Struthio camelus: one gene and its partners. Each later gene encodes a partner of the first gene's protein in a complex. Links are inferred from orthologs where the notes say so. Each region holds a gene or a part of one and is shown in the gene's direction. Other genes may lie near its edges. The genes, in order: LMNA, ZMPSTE24 and BANF1.

Region 1 (9,975 bases):
CCGCCCCGGCAGCGCGGCTGGGCGGCAGCGCTGGGTGATGGAGCGCGGGAAACCCCCCCCCGTCCCCCCCCGCAGGGCTTTCTCGGCCGAGCGGGCCGGCATCTGGCGACGGGTCCCCTTCCCTGGCTGCTCCGGGGAACGGCCACGAAGCGCCGGAAGGAGCTGTTCCCGGCTATGAGACGGTGGCACCCGGCCAGGGGAACAGCGCGGGGAGCGCCGCGGCCCCGGGACCGAGCGAGCGATGCCCTGAGGCCGCTTTCCCTCGCAGGGCGGCCCGGCTCAGGTGTTTTAATCGCTGCAGCGAGAGCAAAGATGCTAAGGTGCAGGCGACGTGAAATATAACGGTAGGAGAGAAGATGAGCTAGAAGAGTCCCTGGAGAGGAGTCTTTAGAGACAGGATTAGTTCATCCTGAAACTGTCCCCAGAGGTATTTGTCTCGTGGGATCCCGAAAGCCCCGAGCGACGGAGACCTTCCCGAGCACGTTGCTGGTTTACCGCAGGAGTTAAGCCGGCGCCCAGCAGAAACGGCCCCGTCGCCCATTCTGTCTTCACCCGCCTCCGGGCTTCCTCGGGCGCGAAGGAAAAGGTGCTGGGAGCACCACGGATGCGGCGCGTTGGAGCCGGCGAGGATCCCCGGGGAGGCTCCCGGCTCAGCAGCGAGGCTGGCGAGCCCTGGAGACGCAACGGCTTTTATCCATGTTTCCTGCAGGCCTTCGCACGTCCTGGCACGGCGCTGGGGGAGGCCGAGCACCGTGAACGTCCTGGATCTTCTCCAGCTCCGTCCTGCACAAACATCCCCTTCGGCACCTCCATTGCCCCGCAAGGAAGCCGATGAGCTGCCGCCCTGGTGACTCAGCCGGGGATTTCTCTGGCCGGGGACGAGAGCTGGCAGCTCCGCATCCTGCCCGCGGCGCTCGCCCGAGGGCCGGCCGCCGCTCCGGAGGCTCCGGCGTTTTGCGTGCCGCGGGAAACCTCCGCGAGCCGCGGCCTGGGCTGCGCGGCCGCCGCAGGATCCGTCGCTCGCCGCGGGCTACCTGGGGCTGGGCGGCGGCGGCGAGCCATCCCGGCTCAAGTCCGGGCTTGCAGGAGCTCGAGAAGGAGGAGAAGCGCGCGGGGAGCCGCCGACCGCGACACCCCAGCGCCGGGGCGTCGACGCCCAGAGCCTGCTTTGCAGCCAGCCCGTCCCTGCCCCAAGCCTGCTGGGGCGTATCGTAAGGAACGTGGTTTTCCAGGCCTTTTTATACCACCAGAGCAACGAAATCCATGCTAGCAGCTCTTCTCTTCTTGCAAAGCCTCTGGTCCTCCCAGCTGTGCTCTGGCCCCGGGAGCTGCTGCCTCCGGGGAGCACCCGACGCGGGAGACCCCCCGCTCCCCGCTGCGCCGAGAAACGTTTAATTTAGAGCAGTCCTAAAGTTCCCCTAGTTTGCCCCAGGTGTCCGGGCAAGGGAGCGCCAAGGGATGTGAACTCCTTCCAGCCTCCCCCCGAGCCGGGGCAGAGCCAGGCTGCGGCGAGGCGGCCGGCCCAAGGGGAGCCCGGCGGCGCTCCCAAGCTGGCATTTCGCGGGGCACGTCCCGGGGGCCGGCGCGTGCGCGCGCGCCGCCGTCCTTTGCCCCACGCCGGCCTGGGCTGGCGCCAGCTCATTGTGTGCGCTCTCCCTGCCTGCGCCGAGCTCCCCGCTCGGGGCAGCCAGAGAGGGAAAAACGTCCGTTAAAATGCGAGCGCGACCCCCCCCCCCCCCCCCCGCTCCGGCTCCAGCAGCGCTGGGGGGGTGGCAGGGAGGAGAAAACGTGGCTCGCTCAGGATTTTGCACTCAGAAACTCACCGGTTGCAGTGAAACAGGGTATTTAGGGTGCACGTGCACATGGGCGTAGCTCGGGCTACTGACTGCACGCCGAACTGCCTGATCCCGCGCGCGGGAGTGACCCTCGGCGGCTGCGGGCAGAGGATGCAACGCTGGGAGGGGGCAGGAGGGCCCGGGGTCCCCTCCGCCGCCCCGATCCCCAACGCGCCCGCGCGATGCTGGAGCCGCTTTTCCTTTCGACCCCTGCCCGCGGCGGGGAAGGGCAGCCCAGCAGCCAGATGCTTTTCCCGCTGGGCTGCCTGGAGCGGCCGCATCCTCGCGGCTCGGCAGCCCCGTCGCCGCACCAGCGCTCCGGGGTTCGGCGAGCGTGGAGCGGGCAGGAAAGCCCGGGGCACCTTCGGCCCTGCCTGGTGCTCTGGGTGCTCCTCTCTGCTGCGCCCCGAGTCCCTGCACCCCTGGGTGCTCCCTGCCTCCCCCGGCTATAGCCCGGCCAAAGGGGGCTTCAGAGCTTGCACTTTAGGATTGCTTTTGCTACTCCAGAGCGCATCCGCCACCCAGACAGGGTTCGTTCGTGCTCCCGAAAGCGAGGCACGGGGCTTGCCGGGGGACGCAGGCGTCCCCTTGGCTGTCGCTGCGGGGCGCGCGTCTGCCCCAGCCTGAGCAAGCGCCGCCGTTCGCGTCCCGGGAGCTCGGAGGCGACGCGCTCCGCCGTCCCGGGCGGACGTGAACCCCCGCGGGCCCCAGTCTGCAGCTCCGCAGCCCTGTCCGGCGCGTCCGGCTCTCCGTGGGCTCCGCTCTAACCGCCCAGCGGCCCGTCGCGGGGCCGCTCGCGGGGTGTCCCGCCGTTCCCGGGCAGAAGTCCTCCTGGATGGCTCCGCGTCGCCCTTCGCGGCTCTCCTTCCTGCTGGCGCATCCGAGCGCATCGTTGGCCCTGCCCTGGCTCCTGCTTGCTGCAAGTTTCAGCTCTCTCAATAAATACAACTGGTAAATCTATTAATTTTACAGCTCTAATTGATGTATTGCTGCAATTACCTTTTATAACAAGGCAATTAAACCCTATTAAAGATTATTAGCTAATTAAAACTCCTCTATGCGCACGCACAAACCCCCTTACGCGGGTGGGCTGTGGGTGGGAAGGAGGGGAAGCCCCCAGCGGCCGGGGCCTCGCGGGTCAGCCCGGCGCTGGGTGCCACGCGGCAGGTCGGGACGGCGGCCGGGGGACGCGTCTGCCACCGCGGCGCCCTCCGTCCTTGGGCGGCGGGACCGCGCTGCTTCGTGCCCTGCTGCGGATGGCCGGCCCGCCGGCTCTCCGCTCCCTGGCGTCGCGTGGGAGCAAGCTCGGGGGCCGGGATGTTGCCCTCCTGGGGGAGGTAGGGTTAACGGCGCAGCAGAGAGGGTTGGAAAGGGAAAATCCCCGTGTTGGAGATAGGGTGTGCCTGCTTTGGAAAGGGAACAGCTGGAGAAACGCCCCGGCTGGGGCCAGGAGCCAGGGGAGCACCCAACAGCGGGAAGGCATCTCCGTGGGATCACGGTGCCTCCGTCCGGCGTTGCTCCGGGCCTGCGAGAGCGGGAGACGATCCCAGGCTGCGTAAAAACCTGGGAAATGAAACCCCAGGATCCTCGGGAAGAAGCAAAACCGGAGAGAGAGAGAGAGAGAGGAGGAGAAAGGTTGGGCTGCGAGGGCGGCTGTGGCGGGACGTCCGCAGGGCTCGTCCCTCGGCAGCGCCTGTCCCGGACGCGCTCTCCGTCCCCGCCGCTCCCCTCGCTGCCCCCCAGCCCTCGGAGCAGCCGCGCTTCATCGCTGGCCACGTGTGCACATGTATGTTTGCATTGTGGCGTTTGCAGGCACCCGACGTTTCCGGGCTTTTTGCAGGCCAAAGAGCTTTGGAAGCTGAAAGGAGGTTGAAATTCCAGGGATGTGACTGCTTTCTGCTTTCTGAGTCACCGCGGGAGCTGGCCGGGCAGGATACGGGAGCGTCTCCGCGAAGGGCGCAGCCTCCCCGTCCCTCCGTCGCCCCTCGCCGGTCCCCCGCGCTCTGCGCCGGCAAGCCCACGGAGCCCGGCCTTTCGCTCCCCGAGCGCTCGCTCGTGCAAACCGCAGGAATTCACGTTGGAGGGGCCCAAGCGCCGGGCTGCGCCCCGACCTGCGCCGTGCCCCAGCCGGGGAGGGAGGCGCGCGGCCGAGCCCGGCCCAGCCCGTCCTCCCCGCTTCGCCCGTCTCAGCTGGTTCCAATTAAACCCCCCTCCTGCCTTGCGTAAATGACAAAAACGCCTCTCTGCCATCTGGGAAGCAGCCGGAGCCGGTGGCTGCTGGGGGTGCTCAGCCCGCGGGGTCCTGCGCCGGGGGCTGCCGGGACCGGCTGCGCCAGTGACCTTTAGCTGTGATTTTTAAGCTATTGCTCAAGCCGGTCCCTTGCTCCCAAACGCGCTTTGCCGTGTTAAAGCACGGCTGCTTTAACCCCCCCCGGCCGGCCGATGCACGCCGCCGGCGGAGGGTGCAAAGTGCTTTTCTGCTGTCCCTTCCTGCCCGGCGTGGTTTTTCTTTTTCTTTTTTTTTTTTTTTTCTCCTTTAAAACAAAACAAAACAAAGCTGCGGAGCGGAGGAGGCCGTTGGCGTCCCACAGTGCCCCGCGCGCTGGCTCGGCCGCGGCGGCGCGCCGGAGCCGGCGGCCAGACCCCGCCTTCGGCGGCGGCGAGCATCGGCCCTCGGGGACGGACGGGCAACCCGGCGGATCCGGGAAAGGGATGAGGAAAAGCAGCCGGGCACGAGCGCCGAGGCAGAACGAGGGCGGAGAAGGGAAAAGCACCAGCGGGAGGGAGGGAAAAGCTCGCACGATGCAGCGAGGAAGAGGAGGGAGCGAGCGGGGCAGGCGCCCCCGGAGCGGGGAGGCAGCTGCGGCGCCGGGCAGCGGACGGCATCGCCGGCCCGGCACCGCGCGCCCCGCTCCGCGGGGGTCTTCGCCGGCCCGACGCGCAGCGAGCGGGAACGGGGAAGGGGTACGGCGAGGCCCCGCTGCCAGCCCTCCGCCCGGGCGCCTTCCTCGCCGGCCTCGGGGCTGCTGATTTTTTGAAAGCCGGCCGCTGGATTTTCGCCGTCCCGCTCGCCCGCCCCGGCTGCCGTTCCTCCCCGGCAGCCGTGACTCATCGTTGCCGTGCAAGGAGCGGGGTGGCGGGGGATTAATCACCGCCGGCGCGCGCACGCGTGTGCGTGTGCGTGCGTGCGCGTGTGTGTTTGTGTGTGTGTTGCTCCGGTTGCTGCGTGAGTCATTCCCGGCCTGCCGGCGCCTTTGCTTCCCTCCCGTTAGAGGCAGTTCAGCTGCGTTGCAACGGGAGCCCGGGCTGCGCCCCGCGGGCGCCACGCTGCAGCGCCTTGCACCGCGCCGGGGGAGCGGCGGGCGCCCGCCGCCCGGCTCCCCGTCCCCATCCCCGTCCCCATCCAAGCTGGCCCCGGGAACTGGGGGGACGGGGAATGGCTGGGACTGGGAACTGGGAGAACTGGGGCGACTGGGATCACCAGCGCTGGGAACTGGAGAAACGTGGGGGGACGGCTGGCCCCGGGAACTGGGGGAACGGGGAATGGCTGGGATTGGGAATTGGGGGAGTGGGGAATGGCTGGCACTGGGAACTGGGAGAACTGGGGCAACTGGGCACAGCTGGTGTTGGAAATTGGGGGAACTGGAAACTGGGTGCAGCTGGCTCAGGGACTGGGGGCAATTGAGAAACTGGGCACAGCTGGTACTGGGGAGAACTGGGGCAACTGGGAGCTGGGCGCAGCTAGTGCTGAGGACTGCAGGAACCGTGAGGACCAGGCAAAGCTGGTGCTGGGACTGGAGGAGCTGGGGAAACTGGGGGAGCACTGAGCCCCCTCTTTGGAGGTCTGGGGGTGCTGCAGCAGCGTGGGGGACCCCGGGGTGCTGGCTTTGGGGCCCCAGGGCTCTGTGTCTGCCGTGCCCTGGTGCTCTGGGTGCCGGGGGGGGGGAGCTGGCACCCAGCTCGCTGTGGGGCAGCGGTGGCGGCGGCAGCGTCCCCCACCCCGCGGCCGAGGCCGGCTGTCCCCAGGCCCGCTTTTCCCAGGGATGCTTTCCCAGCCTTTTCCCAAGGAAGGGGCCCTGGCGCTTGACGCAAGCGGGGCTATCTCCTCCCCGCTGGCCGATAACTCCACCCTCCTCCTCCTCCTCCTCCTCCTCGCCGCGGCTCCGCCTGGCAGTGCGCAGCCCAGCTGGGATATAAGCAAGTCACTCGGGCAGCCCGGAGCAGCCGAGACGCTTGGGACGCGTGCCGTGTCCTCGACGCCGGGTTTCCCCCCCCCCCCTCCCGCCCTCCCCGCCATGGCGACGCCTTCGCAGAAGAGGAGCACCCGCAGCGGGGCGGCGGGGACGCCACTGTCGCCCACCCGCATCACCCGCCTGCAGGAGAAGGAGGACCTGCAGGAGCTCAACGACCGCCTGGCCGTCTACATCGACAAGGTGCGCTCGCTGGAGCTGGAGAACGCCGGCCTGCGGCTCCGCATCACCGAGTCCGAGGAGGTGGTGAGCCGCGAGGTCTCGGGCATCAAGGCCGCCTACGAGTCGGAGCTGGCGGACGCCCGCAAGACCTTGGATTCGGTGGCCAAGGAGAGAGCCCGGCTGCAGCTGGAGCTGAGCAAAGTGCGGGAGGAGCACAAGGAGCTGAAAGCTCGGTGAGTGCCGGAGCGGGGACGGAGGGGGACGATGCCACCGCCGCCTCTGCCCGGACGACCGCTGTCGTCACGCTTGGCAGGCGGCGAGGACGCGGGAGCCGGGAGGGAGGAAGGAGCGGCGCGGAGGAGGCAGGGAAAGGGGAAAGCCGCGGCCCGGCCGGGGCAGGAGCGCCCGCGGCGGGGGCGGCTCTCCCGGCGTTCCCGGCTCCCGTCCCTGGCGCCATGTTCGCCCGGGTGCCCTTGGAGGGGGAGGCGGGCGGGGGGGGGAAGCAGAGCCGGTCGGCGGCGTCCTCAGCTCCTCGGTCGGGGACCGGGCGACGTGGGGCGCGAGCCCCGGGCTCCGGCCCCTCCGAATCCGTCGTCTATTCCTAAACGCCGCCCGGCGCGAACCGGGAAGCGGTGCCAGCCAGCTGGCTCCGTCCTGCCGACGCAGCTCTCCGGCTCGTCCTGTTTTCCTCCGCTGTCTTTGGCAGCTGTTAAAGAACCTGCTCTGCTTTTGCTCGCCTTAACCCTGCCCGCGCCGGACCGGTCCCCCCCCACTGCCACCGCCGCGGAGATGCTCGGGCAGCGCCCGCGTCCCTTCCCTCCCGCCGCCGGGCGCCCCTGCCCTTCCCCGGTACCCGGCCTGGGCGCCCGCGCGGGGCTCGGCCAGCCCGTCCGTCGATGCCCCCGGGGGAACGGCGGCGAGAAACCTGCGGGCGCGTCTCCCCCTCTTCCTCCCGGCTCGAGCTGAACGCTGGCTGTCTCGTTTTGAGTCCCCGTCCGAGGGACTAACGAGGCTAAAATTAACTCGCTCGGAACACGCCATAAATAATCCTACCTACTGGGAAGCGAGCGACTGCGCGGCCCTGTGCAGCTGTCTCTGCAAAACCGTGCGGCGTTTTATATTTAGCTTTGTGTTTTCCCTCGCCCCGGCTCGTGCCCGCGGCGCTGCTCGGCTCGCCGCCGGCATCCCGGCCGCGCCGCGCTCCGGCTCGCCTCCCGCAGCTGGCGAGGCGACGGGCAACGCCTGGTTTACGCAAACGCCGAGTTATCTCGGCCGGGATCTTTCGAGAGCTGCGCGCTGGCTGGGGTGGGGGGAAAAGATAGATATATATATATATATGCGCCCGGCCTTGCACAGCAGAGCCGTTTGCAAAAACCGTACGGCTTTTCCCCGCTCCCGCGTCGCGGTTGTCCCCTAAGGCCGGCGGACGCCCCTTCGATCGCGCAGGAAGGGGGGCTCGGCCGGGGCAGAGGGGCGCGAACGGGCCGCCGCGGCTCGGCGCCGTTGCCCGAACCCTTTCGGCCGTCGAACGCGCGTCGGTAAACAGGGAGGGGAGCTGCGGGCGCAGCCCGGCGCTGGTGGCGTCGGCGGAGGGGGCCGGGCGCCGCTCTCGCCTCTCCCATCCGGCCGGGCTGGGCCCTACCGGTCCTGCCGGCTCTCCCGAAGCCCTGGGTCAGCGCCGGGCGCTAACACCTCGCCCAGCTCATAAATAACTTGCAAAAACATCCCGGCCGCCGCGTTTTTCCCCCCCTCCCCACCTCCCCTGCAACGCCTCGACCCCGGGCGGAAGCGCGCCGGGTATCTCCCGGGCGGCAGGCGGCTCCGGCCGGGCGTTATCAGCGGCCGGCAGCGCTGCGCCCGCCGCGGGGCCGCCGGTTGTCTCGGCGGTGCAGGAGGCAGGGCGGGGGGCTCGCGGCCGGCACGGCACCCGCCCGCCGGGGCCAGAGGGGCGCCGGCTGCATGGCGGTGACGGCGGCGGGACGGGCTGCACGGCAGCGTGCCGGTGCAAGAGCCGCTCCGTGCACGGAGCAGGCTCCGGCTCTGCCCCCGGCCCCCCTCCTGGTGTGTTTTGCCCCAAAGGGACCCCCGGAGCATCCCGCCGGGGCCGGCGAGGGGTCGTTCCCGGCTGGCTCGGCCGAAACAGGAACCAGGCTCCAGTTAGCAGCTCGTCTGATGAGCGACGGCTTCCTGAACTGCAGCCCCTAACCCGATTAAGCCGGCGGCTTGGCATCGCCTCTTCCTCCCCAGGGCCCAGATCTCATTCCCGCACGGGTGGATTTTGCTCCGCTGCGGCGTTTTGCACGGGAGGGGGGGAAACCTTCAACCAGCCGGATGGTCCCTCCACCTCCCGATGCGTCCCCGCTCCGGTCCCATGGAAATTTTTCCCCGGGGGAGGGTGGGGGGGAAAAACAGTTTGGCTGGGGGAAGGATCCGCCCTTTGAGAGCGAACAAAGAGCGGATTGTGCAAGGCGGCGGGCGACGCCGGGCTGGGCCGGGACCCCGCGGTGCCCGACGCCTCGCGGACCCCCTTTACCCCCACGGCCCTGGAGCATCCGGCAGCCAGGACGGATTTATTTCCCCTCGCCGTCGCCGGTATGCAGCTCGCCGAGGCGGTGGGTGCACGCTCGCCCTTCCCGGCGGGAAAAGCCCCGTGGCTCGGAGGCGCTCCCTCGACGCCCGTTGGCGAGGACGGCGGCATCCCGCCGCCAAGCCTCGGGGTGCTGCGGGGAGCAGCCGGGACGGGGCCGTCCCTGCAAGAAACGCTTTTCCCACCCCGTTTGCACCTCTCGTTGCTGGACCCCTCCCCCCCCCACCCCGACGCCCATCACGTGCAGCCTCGGGGCCGGGCGCCCACCTGCGCCGGCTCCGTCGGGCCGCGGTGCCGCGGCTCAGGCCGCCGGGGCTGCGGCGGCGGGAGCTGTTCAGAGCCCAGAAGCGCGATAGCGGCGAGGCCAAAGTCCGCTAACAGCAGCGGCGGGCGCCCGACAGCCTGCACTTTACCCTGCTTAACGTCCAGGGCTGCCGCGTTAGAGGCGTCGGCGCTGCAAAACGAGGGCGCGCCGGGCCCCGGCGCTGCCCCGGCGTTGGGGTTTCGTTGAACAGCAGCTTGGCGATGCTCTGTCCCCGGCGCGGCTCCGGCGATGATGCCGCTCGCTGCCCCTTCCTTCCTGCCGCCGGCGCTGCCGCCGCCTCTGCAGGCTGGAGCCTCCGTGCCTCAGTTTCCCCATCCGGGGAAGGGACGCAGCCCCTGAGCCGTCCCTGGCGGGGAGCTGAGGGTCGGGGGGAGCGGATTCGCTCCCTGGCGTGATGCTACCCAGCTGGCTTTTGCAAGCCGGGGCACAGCCAGAGCCCTGGGGTTTTGGGGCAGAGCCGCCGACCCGCGTGTCCCAACCAGCACGCGGCGCCACTTTTGCAACGCGGCTCGGGCTGCTGCGGTGCAGAAAGCTCCTGGGCTGCCGCTGCCTGCGCGCGGCGAGGCTGCCGCCTCTCGCCGCGGCCTCCTTTGCAGAGAGAGCCGGTGCCGGGGGCTGCTGGCGGAGCAAGAGGAGAAACCCCCGGCGCTTGCAGCCAACGGCGCTGCGCAGGGACGCGCTGGGCCTCGCCGCCGGGCCGCGGTGGCGGACGCACGCACGCAGCGCGCCGGCCTTGCAGCAATGTAAATACCTCGCCTGCCTTTATCGGCTCCGGCGGCCGGGAGAGCGAACCCTTTTGTTCCCAGCGAGATCGGC
Region 2 (10,125 bases), on another chromosome or scaffold:
CCTCCCTCCCCCCCCCCCCAAAGTTCCTTGCACTATTAGCTTTCTGGTACTTCACATGAGTAAATTACTGTGGAGTAGCAAGGTATTGCTACCTCAGCTGTGCAGTGATGGTCCAGTAGCAGTTGTTGTCCCCATGACAGGTGTCCAGTAGCTTGACCAGCAAGGGGACAGTTACCTTGAATTCTTCTCTGTATTTTCAAGAGAAAGAATCTATATGCTATACAGGGAACTCCCCTACAACAACATCCGTCTGTCTGCAACGGAGAGTCACAGAACAAGCAGCCAAACAAATGAGGTCGTGGAGCATGTGTTGTGCAGACTTGCTTGATTTCATGATGGATATGACAGAACTTCCTCCTGTCAAATTTGAAGCAACAATACTGCATTGCAAGGGAAAAAAAAAAAAGCAGCTGTTAGGAGACAGTTAAGGGGCAGCCTGCAATATATTCCAGAGGAGAAAAATGGTCAAATACTACTTTGGACAATTTTAATTGTCAAAGTTAATTTTTGCAATTCATTTTTAGTGTTGCTGTGAAAGACCACTGTCAAATAATAGGGAAGCTTTATCTTTGTTATTGTGTGCAGTCTGGGTCACTTGTACTGAAGAAAGATGACACGGATTGTGTACAGTTTGCAGTATCTGGGGGATGAAAAGTCTAGTGTGTGAAGGGAAACTAATGGCTCTTGGATTGGTTAGCAAATGTATGCAGTTAGGAGTGCCCCTCCTATCTTCCTCTCAGATATTACAAAAAAGCTATTTGAGCTCACAAAGAACATTGGCAAAGAGAAAATTAGCAGGAACTCTTTACTGGAAATCAGAAACAAGTTGCAAATTATTAGAACAGAGCAGTTCTGGGACAGCTTTTCTGTAGGAGCAGTGAGGAAATAGATCTCTGCGAGCTTGTGAAAGGACTGGATGGAGGTGGCTGATTTCAGTAGTGAGAATTGTATCCAATAGTATAGGATCTTTCTTCAGGCTCTATATTAAAATCACAGCGAAGGAGCTGTGTGAAAGTCAGGAGTTTATTCTGAGGCAAGGAGAAACACTTAACAGAGAACAGCTCTGGTACAGAGCAAGGGGGTAAAGAGGTGACAGTCATGTGATAGATTTGGTATTGACAAGGGCTTTCCAGCAGATGTCCTGTGATGTGGCTGGAGTCAATCTAGCCACTGAAGGCTCTTGAAAAGGAAAGTTTCTTTCTCTGCTCTCTGACAAAATGGTCAGTAGCTTTCTGCCCAGTTACCAAGTTGAGTCAGAAGAGCACCATAAGTTGCATAAGGGAGGGGCCGAAGGGTGTGGATAGAAACAGCAGAGGCTCTAGTCCAACCTCCCACTCAGAGCAGAACTACTGTCAACACTAGAGCACCTATGGCTTTGTCTAGGCACATCTTGAAAACTTCAAAGGATGGAGATTCTACGCACGCTTCCCTACTGACCTGTCCCAGGCTGAGCCTCCCATGCCACTGGCCCCTTCTTACATCATTGGGTGTTACCAAGAAGCTTGGCTTCACCATCTTGTAGTTACCTTTCAAATAGTTGCAGGTAGCTATGAGCTTGCTCCTTAGCCTTTTCTTTACCAGACAAAACAAGCTCAGCTCCCTCAGCCTCTCCTTGTAGAACATGTGCTCAAAAAAGTAGTGAGCAATTGGCAGACAGTAACAAGCAGAGTACGTCAGGGGATGAAAAAGGAGCCTGTATTGTTTGACATGTTCATCAATACCCAGAATGTTGCAGAGAGAACACTCAGCAAAAGGTACTGTCTTTGTAGCTTTTCACTGGACCCCATCCTTCTTGAAAGGGAGCCCAAAACTGGACCCAGAACATGTGCCATCCCCAGGACTAGGTAGAAGGGGATAAAATCGTCTCAATCTACTGGCTGCACTCCCTCTAGGATGTAGTTAGCCTTAATCAAGACCAGAGTGTATTGTTGACTTGTATTCAACCTGGCATCTAACATGATGCTTCAGGTCTTTTCCAACAGCCTGGTCAGCGTGGACCGGTGCATGGAGTCATTCTGCCTCAGGTGAAGAACTGTGCACATTTCCTATTATTGACCCTCCATGAGGTTTCTGTTGGCCCAAATCTCAAGTTTGTCAAGGACCCTCTAGACTGAAGTTCTGTCATTTACCACTTCAGCCACTCCATTTGGTTTAGTGTTGCCTGCACATTTGCTGAAGGCACGTTTGGTGTCATCACCCAGGTCACTGATGAAGATGTTCCATCCTTGGAGGTTTTTGAGACCAGACTGGATAAAGCTCTAAGCAGGAGCTTGGACTAGAGACCTCCTGAGGTCCCTTCCACTCTGAGTTATCCTATGAATTATCACAGTATCAACCTCTGAGGTACTCTGCTCATTACTGGCTGCCAGCTGGATGTCAAGCTATTGCTCGCTATCCTTTAAGCCATGTGCTCCAGACAATTTCAACATATCTTATGGACTGTTCACCCAGCTATATGGCTGGGAATGCTATAGGAGATTAAAGTCAAGGTATATTATATTCACTGCTCTCTCCCTGTGCATATAGCCCAGTCATTTCATCACAGAAGGTAATCAGCTTGGTTAAGTATGTTTTGCGCTTATTAAGTCTGTGCTGTTTCTGATTACCTTCTTGTCCTTCACATGCTCAGAAATGGATTCCAAAAGGATGCTATGAACTTTCCAGCCAAAGTTTTTCTTGCCTTTTTCAAAGATGGGTCTAACCCAAAGATTTGTCTTTTTCAAATCATCAAGGATCACTCCCCACCGTTTTTCATGTATGGTAGACTGTGGCCTCACAGTGATAGGGGCTGGGTTTTTTCAGCACCCTCAGCTTACTCCCATCTGGCCCCATGGAGCTGAACACATTCAGCTTCTCTGCACAGTCTCTAACCTGTTATTCCCCCACTGTCAGATGCCCCTTTCCTTCCCAAACTGCCAGTAGATGCAGAGATCAGGGAGCAGGCTTTGTGAAAACTGATAGAAAACAAGATACTGAGCACTTCAGCCTTTTCCATATCATCATCCCTCATGGATCAACACACCCACGTTTTCCCAAAACTTCCTTTTGCAGTTAGCATACTAGTAGAATCCTTTATTGTTACATCTAATGTCCCTAATTGATTTTAGCTCCAGCTGGTGTTAGGCCATCCTGATTTTGTCCCTACATGCCTGAGTAATGTTTTTAAATACCTCCTTTATTGCCTGTCCTTGTTTGACTTCCTGTATGCTTCCTTTTACTTCCTATGCTTCCTTAGGTCACTAAGAAACACTAAGAAACTCCTTGCTTACCTAAGGTCTTCTGCTGAAATTCTTGATTTTCCTACTGAACATGGAGGCAAGAGGGAGAATTAATAAAAAAAAAGAGGGTTATCCTGTTCGGGAAAGGTGATTCAGCTCTAGCATGTAAGCCCATGTTATGTGATACTGGGAAGAATGGCAGATGTAAGGATAAGGATTTCTGAGTAGCAGATAATCCTTATCCACAGATAAGGATTTCTGAGTAGCAGCAGCAGGAACTACCAAACAGGAAAGAGTGGCAGAATTTGTGCGTGTGTGTGTGCGTGTTATCAGATGGACCCAGCTAAAAAGCATTTGGGAGACAGGGTGGGATTTCAGATTCATGCTGGGTAAACAGAGCATCAGGAAAAATATGTTGTGATTCCAACGGATCTGAATTTGAAGCCAGCAATACAATGGATAGAGCGTCATATCAATTTCACTGGGAGAGATGTGCATGTGTCATAATAAAACCCAGAAACACTGAGTGTTTTCATATTTGTACATTTGCAGGAGGAGCAAAACTAGGTAAAGAAGAAAACGTACAGCTACTATATACCTCTCCTCATCTGCAATGAGTACAAGTCACTCCATGCCCCTGCTGGTACAAGTGGCAGCACTGCCCCTGAAGTCCTCAGAAACACCTCAGAATAAGCATTGCTAAACTGTAGGGTGAGTTTTCTCTGGAGCCTTGGGGAATCCTCCTTTCAGGAGGGAGGATATTCTGCCATGCTCCTGCAGGATGGTCACCATGGTCCTTTGGGTTGCCAAGGTTGTGCCAGATCACCTGCTGCATCTTTAGGACTGTGTGAAGGACTTGCTTGTTAACCTGATTAATGTCTATGCCCTGATACCAGGCCTAGAAGAAGTGTGGTTCCACCAATTGGTGGTTGCTTTTCTTGTGGTCTGGTTAACCTATGTTGAGGGTTTTGGAGGAGATTGCAAACAACGAGTAGGCATTTTTTGTGGACATCTCTCTTCAGTCCACCAATTCCAGCGCTTGCCAGGCCTGTGGGAATAGGCCCCCAATGATCACCACAGGTATAACTCCCTCTCACTATGGCAGAGCTCAGATTTCCTCAGATGCCTTCTAACACTCCAGACATTAATGGACTAACATGGAATTTTACTACACTTTATAGAGCATCACTGGTGCCAAGAAGGGGGATTTCTGCACCCCACAGGACTGGTACCCAATGTTGCTCCTCAGCACAGAGTACAATATCACTGTGAAGGCTGTCTCACAGTGACTAGCACCCATGCTAGGCAACATGATCCCTCCTGACCGGACCTAGATGGTCTGAGGTTGGAGCATCTTGGACAGCTTGTATCTCGTCGAGGGTTGCTTCACCCAGGACGTAGGGTCACTCTGTTCTTTGCTTTGTTTCGAAGGTGCCTGACTGGGAGGGATCAAAGCTACCCCATGGGGAAACTGTGGGTGTGTAGCTTTGACCTCCACTCTTTGGGGTTCCTACAGACACTGTATACTGCTGCAGAGTGCTTGGGCAAGCTCAGCTGGGTACAGACCTAGCTGCTAAGCTTCACTTGGGAGGGTGTGTTAAGCTTGTCCTTGCCCAGCCAACTCTACTCCATCACTCTCAAGCCACTCCTCTACCACTTCTAGAGGAAGATGACAGGGTTGGTGCTCCAAGAGCTGGACCAAGAGGCATTCTGATGGTGTACGCTGGCAATGTTCTCTCTGTGATTCAGGACCCACGAGACCTGCTGCACACGGAGGCCCACCAAGAAACCTTCTCAGTGGCTACCTCCAACCTGGATCAAGAGCTGTGCTTCACAGTTGAAGTCAGGCCCAGACATGCTGCTCTCTCTGCATATATACCTCTCTGCCACTGATCCCTTTTTGCTGAGTTAAACTGGGGTGCTAGAATGGTTGCAAAGCTGGGCAGGACTTTTGAAGGGCCTTTCCCTTTGGGACGGATCACTGACCATCAGCTGGCTGGTCTTGTCCATGCTCTGGTACTACTTTAATGTTCTTTGCTCTACCCCCTTCAGCCTTGGCCAGCCTCCAGAATTTCTTGTGATCAGGGCTGCAGTTGGGTTTCTGTGTGGGGCTTGAGACTCATTTTGGAGAGCATAGAAACCATGGTTTGCTCTGCATCCACAGCTCAGTCCCTGCATCTTTGCACCTGAGCATCAGCAGACTGAAACATGCTGCTGTGTGCCCCACCTTGTGTGCTGCTGCTGACTCCCAATCCTACTACCAGCTCTCCACTGCTACCAGGCTACTTGAAAGCTCCTTGGAAAAATGAGCTCTTCCCAAGACTATCAAGGGGAACTTGCTTGCCAAACCTCTTCTTACACTGCTCCTGTTTCCAAATGCAGATGACAGGTACATCCATTGGCGTGGTCCTGAGGGGTTCTGACCAGGACAAGGCACCTGATGTGGTGGGCTTGTGTCACCCTGCTTTCTTGGTACGTGGGGTGCCACCTTGTATCTCTGCTGCTTCCCTGAGTTGATGAGCCCCACACATACCCCACACAGTTCTACCAGTCCTCTGGGAAGGCAGCTGCAACCACCGCTTATCACTGGCTGCCTCCTTGCACCCCTGCTCCATGACCCACCTCCCCACCTGCTTCCCCCGAAGGAAACCATCCTGTTATCCTCTGAGAAACAACCAGGGCAAAGGAAAAAGGGTGGCAGAGCGAGGTGCCCCCCGGGCCAGCCTATGGCTGAGCAGGAGCCCTGGTTGCAAGGCAGAGGCGCTGGACAGCTATGCCTGAGGGGGAGCAGGTTGACAGGGTGCTCCGGCGCTGTCCTTCTACGGGGGAGCGTGAATTACCCCAGCTCTGCGCCTTCTCTGTTCCTTTTCTCTCCTCAGCCCTTGCCCTCCCTCCCCGCCCCCCAGCCCCGCTCGCCCTGGCGCCGCTGTGAGGAGGCCGCCGCCGCCGCTGCGGGCCCGACCTGCCCTCGGCCATGCCGCCGCGGCCCGGACACGCCGCGGGCCCTCGCCCCTGCCTGTCCCCGGAGTCGCGCCGCAGCCGCCGCCCCCCAGTCAGAGGGGCTCGCTGCCGCTGAGCGCGGAGCGCAAACAGCCTCCCCCCGGCCGCGGCCGCGGCCTCCGCCGGCCGCCAGCTCCTCCGGGCGCGAGGCGGCGCCGCAGCGCGCGCAGCGGAAGGAGGAAGCGCGGGAGAGGCGGCCTGGCCGGGCCGGTCATGGCGCTGTCCGGCGAGCTGTGGGCCGAGCTGCCGGCCGAGAAGCGCATCTTCTGCTCCGTGCTGCTCTTCTCCTGGGCCGTCTACCTCTGGGAGGCCTTTCTGGCGCACCGGCAGGTCGGCGGCAGCGGGGGAAGGGGTTTCCTGGCGGGGCAGAGGAGCCGCCACGCCGGGCGCCGTGCTGGGGCGGGCCCGCGGCTCGCCCTCACGTGGCTGGCGGCGAGGGGCGGCGGGGCGGAGGCCGCGAGAGGAGCCGCGCGGCCAAGGCGGGCCGGGGCCGGGGCCGGGGCCGGGGCCGGGGCCGGCTCCGCGCTGGCGCCTCTCCGCGGAGCGCCCGGCTCTGCCCCAGTCAGGACAGTTGGCGCAGGCAGCGCTGGCTCGGACTAAGCCAGGGTGGGACTGGGGGGCGTTCTGTCAGCCCCTGCTTGCCTTCAGTCTGCTAGGTGAAATTTGACTTTCACGTATAAATTACAAGAATCGTGCAGGCACGGTGCGGGGCAAAGATCATTCAGTACGCTCGTTGGGCTGACCATCACGAAGCCCCAGGGTGGGGGGATTCAGGGGCGGCGAGCTGATAAAATCTGCAGTAGCGCAGTCCTGTCTCTCTCACTGCCGGATGTCATGGTCGCACCTGCCCTAGCTCTGGACTGTGTCAGAGTCCTTTGTGAACTGACTTGACTTGCTCATATGAAAGAAGACATTATCCTCTCCTTGTTTTTGCAGGATGATGGGGATACTTGCTGTCACCTCAGCAAGTTAAGTGGGTTCACAGAAGGATGTGACAGTGCTGGGGGGGGTCACACTGCCAGGAGAGGAAGAAGCAGTGTTGCCTATCCTTGGCAGCAGTGAGCAATTAGATCAGCTAAGCTCCCTGTGAGGCTGCAACCCGGTATTACTATGGGCAGCATCAGCTATTGGGGCTAGATAAGCACCTGCAAATGCAAGGAAGGCTTTTAACACAGGCTTTTTGAGAAGGCTCCTTGTAAAGAAGTCCACTTTTTCACTTGGTTGGTTGGTAGAGATGAAGCATAGCAAGATGCTCCATTCCAGTAAAGGGATTTTGAGGTGACAGAGCGGGTAGGAGCTTCAGGAAGAGAAGAAAGGATAAAGATAAGAACAGATAAAAATACTGAAACAAGATAGGGCAGTGAATGGAATAATGACTTTTAAACTTTTAAAATTAGAAAGTGGTGAGAAGTTCTCCAACTGAAAATGAAATAACCCCTCATTTATGCAGCTAAATTATAAATATATTTTTTCCTGTGAAGTTTCATGCTTCACAAGGGAGGATATGATCTTTAGTCTGGAACTTGACTTAGTCATAATCATAGCACAGTAAGTTATCTCCTGTGGGAAAAAAACTAATTTCTGTGCTCTTTATATAATAACTTCTTTTATTAGAAAGAAATTAATAAGTAAGCAACTCAGTTTCTGGTTGTAACATAATAATCTTGTTTCAGTTTTATATTTGCAATTTCATAGAAGCAAAGAATTTAGAAACATTTATTTACTTGTTGTGTGTTACTTTGTAACTTTCTGTGGGGGCCCATGGGTCCATGTTATGTGTTACTTGTTAATCATATTTCTCCCCTTAAAAATATTGGATGTGGACTTCTAAGTTTCTTTTCTTATTTTTCAGAGACGGGTGTATAGAACAACAACACATGTACCATGTGAATTAGGACAGATCATGGATTCAGAAACGTTTGAAAAATCTCGTCTATATCAGCTGGACAAGAGCACTTTCAGCTTTTGGTCAGGGCTGTATTCAGAGGTTGAGGGCACTGTAAGTACATGAGCTGCTACAGTATTCATATTATATTTTTCATACAGTTCACCTGTGAAATACTCAGTTTTTGATTTTTAATGATCCTATGCAGCTGCACTGCCAGCATTGTGGCATACTACATCAAACACTGTAATGTGGTAGGCTTAGGATTCTGTATTTCTTGTCTGTGCCTGTATTTGCCGTATAAAAGAAAGTTTTATTCAGATAGCGTGCTCGTGTCCAAATGGAAGATTTGGAACCCTTACTTTCTGGATTTGTTGCTTTTCTGCTCTGTTCCCAGCCTGCATGAATACACTGATAATCGCTAGTCTTATTTTAAAATATCTTGAAAACAAGATATATGAAAAGTTGACTCCCACAGCTGACCAAAGTTGAAGTTGATATGTGCAATAAGCATATGTAACCTCACGAAGTTCAATAAAGGGAAGTGCACGGTCCTGTCCCTGGAGAGGAATAACTCCAGGCACCAGTACAGGCTGCGGGGTGATGTGCTGGAAAGCAGCCCTGCAGAGAAGGATCTGGGAGTCCTGGGGGACAACAAGTTGACCCTGAGCCAGCAATGTGCCCTTGTGGCCAAGAAGGCCAATGGGATCCCAGCCTGCATTCGGAAGACCATTGCCAGCAGGTGGAGGGAGGTGATCCTGCCCCTCTCCTCAGCCCTGGTGAGGCCCCACCTGGAGTACTGTGTCCAGTTCTGGGCTCCCCAGTACAAGAGAGGCACGGAGCTCCTGGAGCCGAGTCCAGCGAAGGGCTACAAAGATGGTGAAGGGACTGGAGCATCTCTCGAGTAAGGAAAAGCTGAGGGAGCTGGGGCTGTTTAGTCTGGGGAAGAGAAGGCTGCGGGGGGGACCTTATCAGTGTGTTTAAATATCTGAGGAAAGCCCAAGAGGATGGGGCCAGACTCTTCTCAGTGGTATCCAGTGACAGGACGAGAGGCACAAACTGAAATGGAGGAAGTTCTGTCTGAACAGAAGGAAAAACTTATTTACTGTGAGGGTGACTGAGCACTGGGACAGGTTGCCCAGAGAGGTTGTGCAATATCCTTCTCTGGAAATATTCAAAAGCTGCCTGGACGTGGTCCTGGGCAGCGTGCTCTAGGTGACCCTGCTTGAGCAGGGGGGTTGGACTAGATGATCTCCACGAGGTTCCTTCGAATCGCAACTACTCTGTGATTCTGTGGTATGTAATGAAACGTAATGAAAATGTGTGAAATGAAATGTAGTGACACTGATGGACTATGTGTTGTTTCTTAAGTAGGTTCTGCAAATTCTGCAAATTCTTCTTTATAAGCATTTTATTGTACTACATACTAATGTGAGACCATGTCAAATACTCCAAAAATGCACAATAAAATGGAAGTAATAGTGAAATGCAGTGTCGTGTCACACTGTGCAGCTATAATGTATATTACATTTTTATAAATTAGTGGCACAGCTGACCTTTTATCGTTTCCACTGCTAAATAATTAAGCAGCATTATAATTATTTTAAGTGGTTAGAAATACAGACTTTTTCTGTGTTTGAAGGGATGCAGCTTCTTTCTTTTTAGGTGACATTTAACTAGAAGGTAGAAAGGAAAACCTGTGAGAACAGGAAAAGTATCAAAAGATGTTTCTTGAGTGTAAGAACAGTTATACTCTGCAGTAAAATTTCTATATAAGAAAAAATAGAACCATAGCTTAGAACAAGTATTTATATGTGCCATATACAAATAGTCTTAAGAGAAACCTTTTCTGACTTATTGCTGAAGTATATTGTTCATCAGTAGCACGACTAGGTGAAAAAGGAATCTTGAAATGCCTGGCACTGTAAAAATATAATTACTGAGTATAGTATGTTATTGCAGTGATGTCCTTAAGACAGCAAAAAGGTCAATTTTAAAAGACAATGAAAATATTAAAATAGT
Region 3 (9,580 bases), on another chromosome or scaffold:
CCGGCGCCCGCGCGGTTCGTGTTGACAAACAGCTCCCCGGCGCTGTCCTCGCCCGCGGGGTCCCTGCCCGGCCACACGGATAGCAGCCCCACGCGTGTGTTAGCGTGTTCGTAGTTCCCTTTGCGCGTTAATACCCCGACACGCGTTAACGCTCCCACGTGAACGCTGTCTCAACACGCGTGTTCATCCTTCTTTGCCCTGTTCACGTGTTCCATTCCGTGTTAGTGCTCCCAATACATGTTCATACCGACACACGTGCTGGTTGTTACATGTCTGACACGTGTTCGTACCCCAAAACGCCTTCACACCCCCCCCAGCGTGTTCACCCTGACACGTGTTAATGCCCAACACGCGTGTTGACATGCATGTTAACACTCCCAACGCCTGTTACTATGCTAATACCCCCCCCGGCTGTTATCGCCCGTGTGGGGGTCCAACACCCCCCCCCCGTTAATACTCACACTAATACTCTGTTCATGCTGCAGTGACGTTACCCTGTTACTACCCCGTCGTTACTCCCCTGTAACCACCCCGTTACCGCCTGTGTTAACGGAGGGCGGCGTTGACGGGGTGGTTACGGCGGTAGCGACGGGGTATTAACGCAGAGTAACGCTAACAGTGTCAGCAGGGTGTTAACGCAGGCTAGCGCGAAGGGGGGGTATTAACACCCGTTGTTACTCCCGTGTTAGTACCCCGTTAACGCCCCCACTGGTGTTGCCGTGTGTTAATGCCCCGTTGTTGCCCCCGTTAACACCCGCTTCACGTTACCCCACGTCAGCGCCGCGTTATTACCCCCGTTAGCGCCACGCTGTTACTGCCCCCGTTAACGTTACCCCGGGGTAATACCCCATTAATCCCCCCCCATTAATACCCCATTAATACCCCCCCCCCCCCATTAATACCCCACTCACCCTGGCTGGGGGCTCTGTTCGTCCCGGGGGGTGAAGGCCTCAGGCCTGGGGGGGGGGGGAGACAAAGGGATTAGGGGGGTCCCGAGGGGGGTTGGGGTGTCCTGGGGGGGCTTCTGGGGTGACTTTGGAGGTTCTCGGGGTCCCCAGGAGGATTCTGGGCCTCCCCAGGCTGATTTCGGGGGTTCCCCCTGAGCAGGGTTGGGGGGGTTCCCAAGGGAATTTGGGGGTCCTGGAGGGGGGGGTGTTGGGGAGGGGTCCCTGAGAGGTTTTGGGGATCCCTAAGGAAGGTTTGGGGGGTCCTGGGCAGGGCTTGGGGGGTCCCAGGGGCTTGAGGGGTTCCCAAGGGATTTTGGGGGTCCTGGAGGAGGAGGTGTTGGGGAGGGGACCCTGAGAGGTTTTGGGGATGCCTAAGGAAGGTTTGGGGGGTCCTGGGCAGGGCTTGGGGGGTCCCAGGGGTTTGGGGGGTCCTGGGCAGGGGTTGGGGGGTTCCAGGGGGTTTGAGGGGTTCCCAAGGGATTTTGGGGGTCCTGGGGGGGGTGTTGGGGAGGGGACCCTGAGAGGTTTTGGGGATGCCTAAGGAAGGTTTGGGGGGTCCTGGGCAGGGCTTGGGGGGTCCCAGGGGTTTGGGGGGTCCTGGGCAGGGGTTGGGGGGTCCCAGGGGGTTTGAGGGGTTCCCAAGGGATTTTGGGGGTCCTGGGGGGGGTGTTGGGGAGGGGACCCTGAGAGGTTTTGGGGATGCCTAAGGAAGGTTTGGGGGGTCCTGGGCAGGGCTTGGGGGGGTCCCAGGGGCTTGAGGGGTTCCCAAGGGATTTTGGGGGTCCTGGAGGGGGGGGGTGTTGGGGAGGGGACCCTGAGAGGTTTTGGGGATCCCTAAGGAAGGTTTGGGGGGTCCTGGGCAGGGCTTGGGGGGTCCCAGGGGGTTTGAGGGGTTCCCAAGGGATTTTGGGGGTCCTGGAGGGGGGGGGTGTGGGGAGGGGTCCCTGAGAGGTTTTGGGGATCCCTAAGGAAGGTTTGGGGGGTCCTGGGCAGGGCTTGGGGGGGTCCTAGCAGGTCTGGGAGATTCCCAAGGGATTTTAGAAGTCCCGGGGGGGGTTAGGGGGTGACTGAGAAGTTTTGGGGGGTCCCCAGGGGGGTTGGGGGTCCTGGGGGGGGTTAGGGGGTGACTGAGAAGTTTTGGGGGGTCCCCAGGGGGGTTGGGGGTCCCGGGGGGGGGGGCAGGTACCAGAGCCCCTGGCGCTGCAGGAAGCGGACGTGGTCGCGGAAGAGGACGAGGCGCATCTCGGCCTTCACCTTCTCGCCCTCCTCGATGGGGTCCACCAGCAGGAAGTCACCTGCGGGGGGGGGGGGGCAAGAGGGGACACGTTGGGGACACGCCGGGGCCGCGAGGGGAGGCGTTGGGGGGACACGTCGGGACCACGCTGGGGTGGCGTGACCAGGACAGCATCCCTTGGGGACGCGCCGCGGTGACAAAGCCAGGAGGTGACACACTGGGGACGCGTCGGGGACGTATCGGGGGGGGGCACGGCAGGAGCAGATACGTTGGGGACGCGTTGGAGACAGAGGAGCGCAAGGTGACCCGCGGCGGGTGACGGAGCCAGGAGGGGACACCTTGGGGACACGCCGGGGCCACCCGGGGCGGGAGGTGACACGGCGGGGACGCAGCGGCGGAGGCGCGCGGGCGCGAAGGGCCGCGTTGAGCTGCGCGGGCGCGAAGGGACCGGGCCGGGGAGCGCGTAGGGGGCCGGGTGGCTGCGAGGGGACGCGTTGGGGACGCGTCGGGGACGCGTTGGGGACCTCTCTTGATCCAGATGTGGCGGCGGAACTTGGGCGGCATGCTGACGAGGAAGCGGGCGCCCTCGGCCGTCTCCACCTCGTGCAGGTTGTTCCCCGGCGTCCCCAGCACCTGGGGAGGGGGGGGGGGACACGTCGGGGACCGCAGCGTCCCCCAGACCCCCTCCGTGTCCCCTGGGTGGCCCCTTGTCCCTCCTGTGCCCCCTCCTCCATGTCCCTGGGTGTCCCCAGGTGGTCTTTCCCCACCACCACCAAATGTCCCTGTGTCCCCATGTCCCCCCTGGGTGTCCCCGTCCCTCCTGGGTCCCTGGGTTCCCCCCCCCAGGTGTCCCTGTCCCCATGTCTCTCCGTGCCCCCCATGTCCCCCCCGGGTCCCCCCTGACTCTCCTGGGTCCCTGTGTCCCCCCCCCAGGTGTCCCTGGGGTGCCCCCCCCATGTTCCCTCTGGGTCCCCCTGACTCTCCTGGGTCCCTGTGTCCCCCCCCAAGGTGTCCTTGTCCCCATGTCTCTCTGTGCCCCCCCCGGGTCCCCCTGACTCTCCTGGGTCCCTGTGTCCCCCCCCCCAGGTGTCCCTGTCCCCATGTCTCTCCGTGCCCCCCATGTCCCCCCCGGGTCCCCCCTGACTCTCCTGGGTCCCTGTGTCCCCCCCCCCCAGGTGTCCCTGGGGTGCCCCCCCCATGTTCCCTCTGGGTCCCCCTGACTCTCCTGGGTCCCTGTGTCCCCCCCCCAAGGTGTCCTTGTCCCCATGTCTCTCCGTGCCCCCCATGCCCCCCCCGGGTCCCCCTGACTCTCCTGGGTCCCTGTGTCCCCCCCCCCCCCAAGGTGTCCCTGTCCCCATGTCTCTCTGTGCCCCCCCATGTCCCCCCTGGGTCCCCCCTGACTCTCCTGGGTCCCTGTGTCCCCCCCCCCAAGGTGTCCCTGTCCCCATGTCTCTCCGTGCCCCCCATGTCCCCCCTGGGTCCCCCCTGACTCTCCTGGGTCCCTGTGTCCCCCCCCCCAGGTGTCCCTGGGGTGCCCCCCCACGTCCCCCCTGGGTCCCCCTGACTCTCCTGGGTCCCTGTGTCCCCCCGCCCAAGGTGTCCCTGTCCCCATGTCTCTCTGTGCCCCCCCATGTCCCCCCTGGGTCCCCCTGACTCTCCTGGGTCCCTGTGTCCCCCCCCCAGGTGTCCCTGGGGTGCCCCCCCACGTCCCCCCTGGGTCCCCCTGACTCTCCTGGGTCCCTGTGTCCCCCCGCCCAAGGTGTCCCTGTCCCCATGTCTCTCTGTGCCCCCCCATGTCCCCCCTGGGTCCCCCTGACTCTCCTGGGTCCCTGTGTCCCCCCCCCAACCCCCACCCACGGTGTCCCTGCCCCCAGGTGCCCCCCCCCAAGTGTCCCCATGTCCTTTTTGTTGCTCTACCACATCCCTGGGTCCTCTTGTGTCCCCAAGTCCCCTAATATCCCCGGGTCCCCTCGTGTCCCCCCCCCCAGGTGCCCCCATTCCCCCCCCCAGGTCCCCTCATGTCCCCTCTCAAGACCCCCCCCCGTCTCCCCATCTCCCGTGTGTCCCCGCTGCGTGTCCCCACCCCCCCGTGTCCCTGTGTCCCCTTGTGTTCTCCTGCGTGTCCCCCATGCCGTGTCCCCCCATGTCCCCCCGGGTCCCCCCACCGTGTCCCTGTGTCCTGCCATGTCCCCTTGTGTGCTCCTCTGTGTCCCCAACACCCCCAGGTCCCCCTGGCCCCCCCCGGGTGTCCCCACCCCAGGTCCCCCCAGGTGTCCCCATCCTCCCCGTGTCCCCATGTCCCTGGGTCCCCTCGTGTCCCCCCCCCCCGGGTCCCCCCATGTCCTCACCCCGTGTCCTGCCGTGGCCCCAGGTCCCCCCGTGTCCCCTCCCGTGTCCCTTCGTGTCCTCATCCTCCCATATCCTGCCGTGTCCCCCCCCGTCCCGCCTTGTCCGTCCCCATGTCCTCACCCCCCCCCATGTCCCGCCCTGTCCCCCCAGGTCCCCTGGTGTCCTCACCCCCCGGGTCCCCCCGTCCCCCCCCGTGTCCCCCTATGTCCCACCGTGTCCCCCCCAGGTCCCCTCGTGTCCCTCCGGTGTCCCCACCCCCCCGGGTCCCCTGGTGTCCCCCCATGTCCTCACCCCCCCCCCGTGTCCCCCCATGTCCTCACCCCCCCCGTGTCCCCCCGGGTCCCCCCGGGTCCCCCTATGTCCCACCGTGTCCCCCCCCGTGTCCTCATCCCCCTGTGTCCCCCCAGGTCCCCCTATGTCGCCCTGGGTCCCCCCGTGTCCTCACCCCCCGGGTCCCCCTATGTCCCCCCGGGTCCCCGTGTCCCCCCCCGTGTCCTCACCCCCCCGGGTCTCCCTATGTCCCCCCGGGTCCCCCCGGGTCCCCGTGTCCCCCCCCGTGTCCTCACCCCCCGGGTCCCCCTATGTCCCCCCGGGTCCCCCCGGATCCCCGTGTCCCTCCCCGTGTCCCCACCCCCCCGGGTCCCCCCGGGTCCCCCCCCCCCCCGCTCACCCGCACGATGCGCTGTCGCGGCGACGGCACCACCCGCTCGTCCAGCACCTCCCGCGCCACGTGCTTCCGCTTGGTGGCCTGCGACATGCCGGACGCCTGGGCCCGCCGGGACGCCTGGGTCCCTCCTCTGTCCCCCTCCCCCGCCCCAGTAGCGGCGGGGGGGCCCAGGCGTCCGGGCTGCCCCCCTCCCGCCGCGCCCCGCCGCTTCCCACCTCTCACCGCATGGGAGTCCGCCACTTCCGGGTGCACCGCCCTCTGGCGTCACTTCCGGAGACACCGGCTCCTCCCCCCCGGTCCTCCTCTCTATGGTGGTTTCTGACAGGCCGCTGCGTCTCGCCGCGGGAACCTCCCGCGGGCTAGAGCGGCGCCGCGCACCACAGAGTCGCGGCGCCGTCGCCCTAGAGCGCCCGCGGCGACCGCGTTGCTAGGCAGCCGCCGCCTCTCTATGGTCGCTTCCGGGCGCGCCTAGAGCGGTCGCCGGCGGCGGGTGCACTTCCGGCGTGGCCGGAAGTGACGGCAGCGCGCAGGCGCGCGCAGCGGCCAGTTGGGCGGGAGCGGCGGTTGACAGCGGCGGGCGGCGCCGGTGAGGGCGGGGGGGGGTCCGGAGGCTCCCTGGGGGGGGTCTTTAGGGCTTGGGAGGTGCGTGTGGGGAGCTGGGGAGGGCTCTGGGGCTGTAGGGGGCTCTGGAGGGTCCTTGGAGGGGTCTATGGGGCTGAGGGAGCTTAGGGGGTCTTTGGGGGGGGTCTATGGGGTTGAGGGGGCTCTGGGGGTCCTTAGGGGGGGTCTATGGGGCTGTAGGGGGCTCTGGGGGGTCCTTAGGGGGGTCTAATGGGGCTGAGGGAGCTCTGAGGGGTCCTTGGGGGGATCTATGGGGCTGAGAGAGCTCTGGGAGGTCCTTGGGGTGGTCTATGGGGGTTGAGGGGGCTCTGGGGTGTTCTTAGGGGGTCTATGGGGCTTTGGGGGGTTCTGGGGGGTGCTTAGGGAGGGTCTATGGGGCTGGAGGAGGCTCTGGAGGGTCCTTAGGGGGATCTATGGGGCTGGAGGGGGACCTGGGGGGTGCTTAGGGGGTTCTATGGGGTTGAGGGGGCTCTGGGGGTGCTTAGGGGGGTCTATGGGGCTGGAGGGGGCTCTGGAGGGTCCTTAGGGGGATCTATGGGGCTGGAGGGGGACCTGGGGGGTGCTTAGGGGGTTCTATGGGGCTGAGGGGGCTCTGGGGGTGCTTAGGGGGGTCTATGGGGCTGGAGGGGGCTCTGGAGGGTCCTTAGGGGGATCTATGGGGCTGGAGGGGGACCTGGGGGGTGCTTAGGGGGGTTCTATGGGGTTGAGGGGGCTCTGGGGGATTCTTGGGGGGGTCTATGGGGTTGAGGGGGCTCTGGGGGTGCTTAGGGGGGTTCTATGGGGTTGAGGGGGCTCTGGGGGTGCTTAGGGGGGTCTATGGGGCTGGAGGGGGCTCTGGAGGGTCCTTAGGGGGGTCTATGGGGCTTTGGGGGGCTCTGGGGGGTGCCTAGGGAGGTCTGGGGGGCTGTAGGGGGCTCTGGAGGGTCCTTGGGGGGGTGTGGGGCTATAGGGGGCTCTGGAGGGTCCTTGAGGGGGTCTATGGGGCTGAGGAATCTCTGAGTGGTCTTTTGGGGGGGGTCAATGGGGCTAGAGGAGGCTCTGGGCGGTGCTTAGGGGGGTCTGTGGGGCTGAGGGGGCTCTGGGGTGTCTTTAGGGGGTCAATGGGGCTGGAAGGGGCTCTGGGGGGTCCTTAGGGGGATCTATGGGGTTGAGGGGGCTCTGGGGGGTTCTTGGGGGGGTCTATGAGGCTGGAGGGGGTTCTCGGGGGTCTTTGGGGGGGTCTGTGGGGGTCTATGGTGATTGCGGAAGCCTATGGGGCTGTGGGGGACTTCTTGGGGGCGGTCTGTGGGGCTGGAGGGGTTGTAGGGCAGTTTTTGGGGTGTCTATGGGTCCGGGGGGGCTCTGGGGGTCTTTGGGGGGTCTCTGGGGCTTGAGGGGGCTCTTGGGGGGGTCCCATGGGTTTCGGGGGGCTCCCAGGGAGTCTCGGGGGGGGCTGTTTGTGCCCCCCCCCCGGGGCCCCTGCTGCAGCTGCGCTGGGGTATTTATAGCCGGGGGAGGGGCGGGATCGCCTGGGCCCCTGCTGGGGGGGGGGAGGGTCAGGATCGCCTGGGCCCCTGCACGGGGTGGGGGGGGGGGAGAGGGGACAACGCTGCCTCCTCCAGCCCCGGGGGCACCTTTGTCCCCCCCCCCGGGGCTGCCGCTGTCCCCACATTGTCCCCCCCCCCCCCCCCGAGCTGCCCGGTCCCTGTCACCATCCGCGTCCCCGCGTCACCCCCCCCCCCCCGCGGTCTGTCCCCGTCGCTCCTGGGGGCCGTCCCATCCCCCCCCCCCCGTCCCCAACGCGGTGGCACCGTCTGTGTCCCCCCCCCCGCCGGCAGGGCGAGCCGAGATGTCCTCGACGTCGCAGAAGCACCGGGACTTCGTGGCGGAGCCCATGGGCGAGAAGCCGGTGGGGACGCTGGCCGGCATCGGGGACGTGCTGGGCAAGAAGCTGGAGGAGAAGGGCTTCGACAAGGTGGGGACACCCTGGGGACACCGCGGGGACACCCTGGGGACACCACGGGGACCGTGGGGGGTGGCTGTGGGGTTGGGGACACCGCTGGGGACGCTGGCCGGCATCGGGGACGTGCTGGGCAAGAAGCTGGAGGAGAAGGGCTTCGACAAGGTGGGGACACCGCGGGGACACCCTGGGGACACCACGGGGACCGTGGGGGGCGGCTGTGGGGTTGGGGACACCGCTGGGGACGCTGGCCGGCATCGGGGACGTGCTGGGCAAGAAGCTGGAGGAGAAGGGCTTCGACAAGGTGGGGACACCGCGGGGACACCCTGGGGACACCACGGGGACCGTGGGGGGTGGCTGTGGGGTTGGGGACACCGCTGGGGACGCTGGCCGGCATCGGGGACGTGCTGGGCAAGAAGCTGGAGGAGAAGGGCTTCGACAAGGTGGGGACACCGCGGGGACGCCCTGGGGACACCGCGGGGACACCCTGGGGACACCACGGGGACCGTGGGGGGCGGCTGTGGGGTTGGGGACACCGCTGGGGACGCTGGCCGGCATCGGGGACGTGCTGGGCAAGAAGCTGGAGGAGAAGGGCTTCGACAAGGTGGGGACACCGCGGGGACACCCTGGGGACACCACGGGGACCGTGGGGGGTGGCTGTGGGGTTGGGGACACCGCTGGGGACGCTGGCCGGCATCGGGGACGTGCTGGGCAAGAAGCTGGAGGAGAAGGGCTTCGACAAGGTGGGGACACCCTGGGGACACCGCGGGGACACCCTGGGGACACCACGGGGACCGTGGGGGGCGGCTGTGGGGTTGGGGACACCGCTGGGGACGCTGGCCGGCATCGGGGACGTGCTGGGCAAGAAGTTGGAGGAGAAGGACTTCAACAAGGTGGGGACACCGCGGGGCCACCCTGGGGACACCACGGGGACGCCCTTGGGGCCACTGTGGGGACGCAGAGGTGGGGACACCGCAGGGCCACCCTGGGGTCACCCTCGGGGCCACTGCGAGGACATCGGGGACATTGCAGAGACGTGGGGGGGGGTGAGGTTGGGGACACCAGTGGGGGACGTTGGCTGCTATTGGGGACGCGCGAGGCGCGGAGGGGTGTCCTGAGCGTCAGAGGGTCCCCAGGGTGTCCCTGGGGGCTGTCAGGGTGTCCCCAAGATGTCTTTGGGGTGTCAGGGTGTCCCTGGGGGGGGCGTCGGGGTGTTCCCAGGGGGTGTCGGGGTGTCCCTAGCGTGTCAGGGTGTCCCCAGGGGGTGTTGAGGTGTCCCTAGCATGTCAGGGTGTCCCCAGGCGGTGTCCCCAGGGGGTGTCGGGGTGTCCCTAGCGTGTTGGGGTGTCCCCAGGGGGTGTCAAAGTGTTCCTAGCGTGCCGGGGTGTCCCCAGGGTGTCCCCAGGGGGTGTCGAAGTGTCCCTAGCATGCCGGGGTGTCCCCAGGGGGTGTCGGGGTGTCCCCAGGGGGTGTTTAAGTGTCCCTAGCATGCCGGGGTGTCCCCAGGGGGTGTCGGGGTGTCCCCAGGGGTGTCAGGGTGTCCCCAGGGTGTCCCCAGGGGGTGTCAGGGTGTCCCCAGGGGGTGTCAAGGTGTCCCTAGCATGCCGGGGTGTCCCCAGGGGGTGTCGGGGTGTCCCCAGGGGGTGTCAAAGTGTCCCTAGCATGTCGGGGTGTCCCCAGGAGGTGTCGGGGTGTCCCCAGGGGGTGTCGGGGTGTCCCCAAGGGGTGTCAAGGTGTCCCTAGCACGCCGGGGTGTCCCCAGGGGGTGTCCCCAGGGTGTCCCCAAGAGGCAGGGTGCCCCCCGCCCGTGACGCCTGTCCCCC

The links.
Region 2: the proteins of LMNA (region 1) and ZMPSTE24 are in contact, whole or in part, in a crystal structure (PDB 2YPT), measured with the Homo sapiens proteins. The link is inferred for Struthio camelus from reciprocal best matches to the Homo sapiens genes LMNA and ZMPSTE24. Residues at the interface, in NP_001393912.1 of Homo sapiens: Cys661, Ser662, Ile663, Met664; in NP_005848.2 of Homo sapiens: Ser264, Asn265, Ala266, Tyr267, Phe268, Val332, His335, His339, Glu415, Leu438, Asn439, Asn442, His459, Arg465.
Region 3: the proteins of LMNA (region 1) and BANF1 are in contact, whole or in part, in a crystal structure (PDB 6GHD), measured with the Homo sapiens proteins. The link is inferred for Struthio camelus from reciprocal best matches to the Homo sapiens genes LMNA and BANF1. Residues at the interface, in NP_001393912.1 of Homo sapiens: Ser431, Gln432, His433, Ala434, Arg435, Met540, Lys542; in NP_001137457.1 of Homo sapiens: Val11, Ala12, Glu13, Pro14, Glu83, Asp86, Ala87, Phe88.

Annotation. Positions count from the first base shown.
Region 1 is NC_090971.1:3,832,376-3,842,350, forward strand, and holds the start of LMNA (lamin), read left to right. Parts: upstream 1-5,759; 5' UTR 5,760-5,878; coding exon 5,879-6,480; intron 6,481-9,975.
Region 2 is NC_090964.1:2,378,190-2,388,314, forward strand, and holds the start of ZMPSTE24 (CAAX prenyl protease 1 homolog), read left to right. Parts: upstream 1-6,364; 5' UTR 6,365-6,431; coding exon 6,432-6,548; intron 6,549-8,070; coding exon 8,071-8,217; intron 8,218-10,125. UniProt on the Homo sapiens protein: Transmembrane metalloprotease whose catalytic activity is critical for processing lamin A/LMNA on the inner nuclear membrane and clearing clogged translocons on the endoplasmic reticulum.
Region 3 is NC_090976.1:753,241-762,820, forward strand, and holds the start of BANF1 (barrier-to-autointegration factor), read left to right. Parts: upstream 1-5,499; 5' UTR 5,500-5,783; intron 5,784-7,635; 5' UTR 7,636-7,646; coding exon 7,647-7,772; intron 7,773-9,580. Other genes in the region: probable RNA-binding protein EIF1AD, read right to left, coding at 1-63, 912-956, 2,134-2,242, 2,706-2,814, 5,201-5,287. UniProt on the Homo sapiens protein: Non-specific DNA-binding protein that plays key roles in mitotic nuclear reassembly, chromatin organization, DNA damage response, gene expression and intrinsic immunity against foreign DNA.